2 linked regions of the Macaca mulatta genome follow. The protein of the gene in region 1 purifies or fractionates together with the protein of each later gene. This does not show direct contact. Links are inferred from orthologs where the notes say so. Each region holds a gene or a part of one and is shown on either strand. Other genes may lie near its edges.

What was found. The genes of interacting proteins can lie anywhere in the genome.
Region 2: the proteins of SF3A3 (region 1) and SNRPA fractionate together in Homo sapiens (co-fractionation; 4 studies listed by BioGRID and IntAct, with this or other methods). This does not show direct contact. The link is inferred for Macaca mulatta from reciprocal best matches to the Homo sapiens genes SF3A3 and SNRPA.

Annotation. Positions count from the first base shown.
Region 1 is NC_133406.1:202,808,877-202,812,396, reverse strand, and holds part of SF3A3 (splicing factor 3A subunit 3), read right to left. Parts: intron 653-3,520; coding exon 580-652; intron 132-579; coding exon 40-131; intron 1-39. UniProt on the Homo sapiens protein: Component of the 17S U2 SnRNP complex of the spliceosome, a large ribonucleoprotein complex that removes introns from transcribed pre-mRNAs.
Region 2 is NC_133424.1:51,874,342-51,877,861, forward strand, and holds part of SNRPA (U1 small nuclear ribonucleoprotein A), read left to right. Parts: intron 1-989; exon of another isoform or gene 990-1,108; intron 1,109-1,165; exon of another isoform or gene 1,166-1,656; intron 1,657-1,914; exon of another isoform or gene 1,915-2,786; coding exon of another isoform or gene 2,787-2,856; coding exon 2,857-3,029; intron 3,030-3,520. UniProt on the Homo sapiens protein: Component of the spliceosomal U1 snRNP, which is essential for recognition of the pre-mRNA 5' splice-site and the subsequent assembly of the spliceosome. U1 snRNP is the first snRNP to interact with pre-mRNA.

The DNA.
Region 1 (3,520 bases):
TCGAGAATCAGAACCTCTCTGCCCGTTCCCAGGTCTTACCTCAGATGCCTTCAGGTTAATGTACTTCAGGTAACAGTCATGGAGATCGAGATAACGACCATATCCCTCTTCATCTGTGAACTCCACCAAGTCTGAGGGAATCAGATACATCAATGATTCAGTTTATACACACCACTCTCTTGGACTTACCTTTTCAAATGGACTGCTTGTTCCTAGTTTCCTGAGGCAGCACTTCACCCAAATGTCCTCCCTTTGCTCACAATATAACCTCCAATAAGTTAAGTGAGATCAAAAGTGAGTGTTCTCTTACAAGGTAACAAGGGCTGACTCATTTTAGTATCGTGACCTAAAGTGAACAATCCTTGGCTTTCCAAGCCAGTAAATTTGAGGTAGGAGAGAACAAAATGAACATTGTGCGCCCAAGACCAATTTAGGATGTCACTCTAGCCCAGAAACCAGCAAAGACGAAACCAGCAAGAAATCCTGGCTATAAATATATCTGAGGCCATGGCTGCAAATCTGAGCTGTAATTAACCTGTACTTTTGCTGGTGCTGAATGAAATTTTCACCTCTACTTACTTTGTGCCTCTTCACTCGGATTCTCTCGAGCCTTCAGGAGCTCCTCAAATTCCACTGACATTGGCACACAGATCTGAGGGGAAAAGTAAAAGCTCAGGTGGATTTTTCTTTTTTGTTTTTGAGACGGACTCTGCTCTGTTGCCCAGGCTGGAGTGCACTGGCACAATCTTGGCTCACTGCAACCTCTACTTCCCAGGTTCAAGCGATTCTCCTGCTTTGGCCACCCGAGTAGCTGGGACTACAGGCACGCACCACCATGCTTGGCTAATTCTTATATTTTTAGTGGAGACAGGGTTTTGCCATGTTGCCCAGGCTGGTCTTCAACTCCTAAGCTAAAGTGATCTGCCCAGCTTGGCCTCCCAAAGGGCTGGGATTACAGGCATGAACCACTGTGCCCGACCTTAGGTGGATTTTTCAATGTAAAAGTTGCAAGATCACAGAAATGAAATACACAGAAAGTTGGACTTCTGATGATTTGGCCTTGATTTTTCACTAGGAAGCTACTACTGTTCTCCAATTACCTTGTTTTTCCCCGCTTTTTTGTATTGTTTGAGTAAAACTCACTAAAGTAACACATGCTCACAAAACCTCAAAAGTCCACCTTTATTAATTCTCCTGAGAACAGGTAACCACTGTTAACAGAGCTTTTCCTATGCCAGTGGTTCCCAAACTTTGCTGCATATTAGAATCACCCGGGGAGTTTTTTTTTTTTAATTCTGATGCACCTGATACCAATTAAATCAAAGGAAGGCAGGTATCAGTACATTTTAAAGATCCCCAGGTGGCTCAAATATGCAGAAAGTTTGGAAAACAGTGCTCTATATATTTAAATATATGTATTTGTATTAGTACATTCATGCCTGCATACGTTTTTATTATTTTTTTTAGCATAAAAGACTTGCTTCTGACACTTAGTATATCTTGGGCATCCTTCTAACCAGTTATTTAAGCATTTATTCCTCGTTACCTTTTGACCATGGCTGGAATAAGGTGAACACATCAGAATGGTATTCATTTATTCTCTCTTGGTTAGCAGAAGACCTCACTCTCCATCCTCCAAGGGGGCTATGTGTGTGAGGATCCCTTCGTTTACCCCCACACTATGTACTGCAATAAACAGCCTCTATTTTTTTGCTGTTTTTAATCTCTTCCTTTTTCCCTGTGCTCCTTCAAATAAGTAAGCTGCTTCTTTTTTTTTTTTTTTTTTTTTTTTTGAGACGGAGTCTCGCTCTGTCCCCCAGGCTGGAGTGCAGTGGCCGGATCTCAGCTCACTGCAAGCTCCGCCTCCCGGGTTTACGCCATTCTCCTGCCTCAGCCTCCCGAGTAGCTGGGACTACAGGCACCCGCCACCTCGCCTGGCTAGTTTTTTGTATTTTTTAGTAGAGACGGGGTTTCACCGGGTTAGGCAGGATGGTCTCGATCTCCTGACCTCATGATCCGCCCGTCTCAGCCTCCCAAAGTGCTGGGATTACAGGCTTGAGCCACCGCGCCTGGCCATAAGTATGCTTCTTTATCTTCCCCAATACCCTCCTGTTTCTCCCCTTCTTTTTCCTACCAGATTTTTTTTTTTTTTGACGGAGTCTTGCTCTGTTGCCCAGGCTGGAGTGCAGCAGAGTGATCTCAGCTCACTGCAACCTCCATGTCCTGGGTTCAAGCGATTCTCCTGCCTCAGCCCCACAAGAAGCTGGGATCACAGGCGTGCACCACCAAGCCCAGCTAATTTTTGTGTTTTTAGTAGAGACGGGTTTCACCACGTTGGCCAGGCTGGTCTCAAACTCTTGACTTTGTGATCCACCTGCCTCAGCCTCCCAAAGTGCTGGAATTACAGGTGTGAGCCACTGAACCCGGCTGCTACCAGCCTTTCAAATGCATGTTCCATACTCCATACTTATATTTCCCCATTACCCATCTTTACCTTGTGACCAGATTTCCATTCCTACTACTTTAATGAAACAGCAATCCTGGCAGTTATCAATCAGTAAGTTGACACCATGACTGCCTTTCTGAAACTCTCTTTTGCTTAACTTCTGTAAGGCAACACCACCTGGAGTGGTCATGTGACCTTTCTGATGAAAGCCTTCCCAGGCCCTTTTTCTCTTAACTACCTTATTATAAGTGAGCTCCAGGGTATATGAGGGCTAGGCGCGGTGGCTCACGCCTGTAATCCCAGCACTTTGGGAGGCCGAGGTGGGTGGATTATGAGGTCAGCAGATCGAGACTATCCTGGCTAACATGGTGAAACCCTGTGTCTACTAAAAAATACACAATATTAGCCGGGCGTGGTGGCGGGCACCTGTAGTCCCAGCTACTCAGGAGGCTGAGGCAGGAGAATGGCGTGAACTCGGGAGGTAGAGTTTGCAGAGAGCCGAAATCGTGCCACTGCACTCCAGCCTGGGTGACAGAGTGATTCCATCTCAAAAAAAAAAAAAAAAGACAGAGTTAGGAGCATAATTTATTGGGGGGAGTAATTTCTTTTTTTTTAAATCTTTTTTTTTTTTTTTGGTTGAGACAGAGTCTCCCTGTGTCGCCCAGACTGGAGTGCAGTGTCCGGATCTCAGCTCACTGCAAGCTCCGCCTCCCGGGTTCACGCCATTCTCCTGCCTCAGCCTCCCGAGTAGCTGGGACTACAGGCGTCCGCCACCTCGCCCGGCTAGTTTTTGTATTTTTTAGTAGAGACGGGGTTTCACCGTGTTAGCCAGGATGGTCTCGATCTCCTGACCTTGTGATCCACCCGTCTCGGCCTCCCAAAGTGCTGGGATTACAGGCTTGAGCCACCGCGCCCGGCCTGGGGGGAGTAATTTCTGTGAAAGACAAAAAGGAGGAGAAAGCAGGATTAGGCCAGGATAGCCTAGACCACAATGCAGATTGGACAAAATCTTGACCCACCCAATGGGGAGCCGTGGAGCAAAGATAACTCATCAGAGGAGTCTCACAGTGGACC
Region 2 (3,520 bases), on another chromosome or scaffold:
CTTAGGCAGAGTGTTGAGGGCTGAGGTTGGGACCTTAGAAAGACAGGGATCCATTCAGCTTCCTGGCAAAGGAGACATTTTGGAGAGCCTGCCAAGTAGAGGAAGCAGTATTTATGTTACATTGAGGGAGAAGAGTGTTATTAACTTGGGCCAGCTTGTGTAGATGTTTAGGGGTAAAAGAGCCTGGCACATTCTGGGTATTACAAGTAGTTTTGTGGGCCTGAGGCCTAGAGGCCTGTAAATCATGGAGAAGCTTCCAGCGAGCTGTGCACTGGTGGCTCCTGGCTATGAGGCTCGTGGCTATGAGGTGTCAGACTTTGCCCTGAGGGTGTTGGGGAGCCAGCTTGCTTCCCTGTCCTGGTTGCCTCCTCATCTATCCTTCCAGCGGTGGAGGGTAAATGCGAATGGGCAAGAGGAGGCTGGAGAGTAGAGAGAGGCCCAGAGTCCAGTGGAATGAGTGAAGTCTGAATGAGATTCATGGGGATGGAGTATGGAGAAGAAAACCAGAAATGTTACCCCCAGGAGAATTTTTGACTAATTGCTTAAAAACAAGTTTGACTGCTGTCCCTGCCCCCACCCAGCCTGCACACATTTTCTTGCTTCTTTCCTAGTCTAGTATCTATTTTACCAAGTGGCTTCTGCTTCAGCTCAACATATTTTTTTTGAGACGGACGTTCGATCTGTTGCCCAGGCTGGAGTGCAGCGGCATAATCTCCGCTCACTGCAACTTTTGCCTCCCTGGTTCAAGCTATTCTCCTGCCTCAGCCTCCCAAGTAGCTGGGATTACAGGCGCACTCCACCACAACTAGCTAATTTTTTCTTTCTTTCTTTTTTTTTTTTGGCCTTTTTAGTCGAGATGGAGTTTCACCGTCTTGGCCAGGCTGGTCTTGAACTCCTGACCTCAAGTGATCTGCCTCAGCCTCCCAAAGTGCTGGAATTACAGGCATGAGCCACCATGCCACGCCAGTTTTTATGAAAGTTGGAGTCCAGTGGCGGGATCTGCCTCCCAGGCTAGAGTGATCCTCCCACTTCAGCCTCCCAAGTAGCTGTGACAATAAGGCACGCGTCACCATGCGTGGCTAATTTTTGTATCTTTTGTAGAGACAGGGTTTCACCATATTGCCCAGGCTGGTCTTGAACTCTTGAGCGCAAAGGATCTGCCCACCTCGGCCTCCCAAAGTGCCGGGATTACAGGTGTGAGCCACCATGCTTGGCCATCTCAGCCATCTACTTTGCATAAGACATTGGTACCCTTTGCAGACCTGAGTGGTGAGAGGGAGTCCATCCTTGTTGACCTTGAATCCCACTTGCTGTCAAGTGATGCCCTTTGCTGGTGAGATGTGGTGGTACCGGATTCAGATGGAATTCGTGGACTGGGCTCTGCCATGCCCTCGTGCCCTCCAGATTGTTGTACTGGTCCAGTGAGGAATCCTCTGAGAACCTGTTTCCATTTGAGTAAAACTGGGACAGTCATAGTTGCCACTTAATGGGGTTGCTGTGAGGAAGTTACCTCTATAAAGCATTTGATGGGGGTGCGATGGCTCATGCCTGTAGTCCCAGCACTTTGGGAAGCCAAGGCAGGAGGATCACTGGAGCCCAGGAGTTCAAGACCAACCTGGGCAACATAGGAGATTGTATCTACAAAAAAATAAAAAATTAGCCATGCGTCGTGTTGCGTGCCTGTAGTCCCAGCTCCTTGGGAGGTTGAGGTGAGAAGATTGCTTGAGCCTAGGAGGTCGAGCCTGCAGTAAGCTATTATGCCACTGAACTCCAGCCTGAGCAACAGAAGGAGACCCTGTCTAAAAAAAGCACTTGATGGTATCTGTAGTCAAATGTTTGTAGCCAAGTGTGGTGGCACACTCCTGTAATCCCAGCACTTTGGGAGGCCAAGGTGGGCTAATTCCTTAAGCTCAGGAGTTCAAGACCAGCCTGGGCAACATAGCAAGACCCTGTCTCTGCACAAAATCCAGAAGTTAGCTGGGCATGGTGGCATATACCTGTGGTCCCAGCTACTCAGGAGGCTGAGGTGGGAGGATCGCTTGAGTCCGGGAGTTTGAGGCTACAGTGAATCATGATCATGCCACTGCACTCCAGCATGGGTGACAAAGTGAGACCTTGTTGCCAAATAAAAAAAAAAATATATGTGTGATGGAGTCTGTGCTAGGCATGGAGATACTGCAGTAAACAAATGGGACAGGCTTATTGCTCCTCAGGTAAGATAGACAAGTTAACGTACCATGACAGGAGGCGGGAAATAGTCATGAAAGAAAAGGAAGTAGAGTAAGAATGACATGGGAAGACATTTAGACATGGTGGTCAGAGGTGGCAACGTTTCCTCTGAGACTTGGGTGACTAGGAGGTGGCCGCCATGTAAACCTCAGGGGAGGGATGTTCCAGGTAAAGGGAGCAGCCAGTGCAAAGGCCCTGGGGCAGAATTGTTGTGTCAGACCTAGGGGCCAGTGTGGTTGGGGACTCAGGAGCATAGTGGAATGTGGGCAGGAATGAGTTGGGGGAAATCTGCCAGGGCCACGTCATGCAGGCCTGTGTCAGGGTGCTGGTGGCAATGAAAAGAATCACTCATATTTACTGAGCGTTTACTATGTACCGGATGCTGTCCTGAGCACTTTGCATGTATGTGCACATGTTCATTATATAGCAGCTCTCTGTAAGCACATCTTACAGAAGAGTGTACTTGGCTACTTGAGTGGTTCCTGGCCGCTTCTGTGATTGTTAGGTCTTGAGAGATTATGGACCCGAGGCATTCTGGGTAGCCCGTCAATTGGCTGATGGTCTTCTATCTGGGCTGCGCTTCTTCTAACAAGGGGAGCTCAGAGGTCTTTTCTTTCCCCACTGCAGAGCTAAAAAAGTCCCTGTACGCCATCTTCTCCCAGTTTGGCCAGATCCTGGATATCCTGGTATCACGGAGCCTAAAGATGAGGGGCCAGGCCTTTGTCATCTTCAAGGAGGTCAGCAGCGCCACCAACGCCCTGCGCTCCATGCAGGGTTTCCCCTTCTATGACAAGCCCATGGTGAGCATTGTGGGTACGGAGGCTGTGTGGGTGTGTGAAATGTTATAGGAGACTGGGCGGGCCTGGATTAGAGGAGAGGATATTAGGGTTCATTCACCAAGGTGAGACTGGACCAGGCTCCCACTGCACCTTGCCTCCTTTAAAAATTTTTTTGGCGTAGTGCGGTGGCTCATGCCTGTAATCCCAGCACTTTCGGAGGCCGAGGCAGGCAGTTTACCTGAGCTCAGGAGTTTGCGACTAGCCTGGGCAACACTGTGAAACCCCGTCTACTAAAATACAAAAATTAGCTGGGCGTGGCAGCATGCGCCTGTAGTCCCAGCTACTCGGGAGGCTGAGGAAGGAGAATTGCTTGAACCTGGGAGGCAGAGGTTGCAGTGAGCCGAGATCCTGCCACTGCTCTCCAGCCTGGGTGACAGAGTGAGACTGTCTCAAAATACGTATATATATGTATATTTGGCTGGACATGGTGGCTCATGCCTGTAATCCCAGCA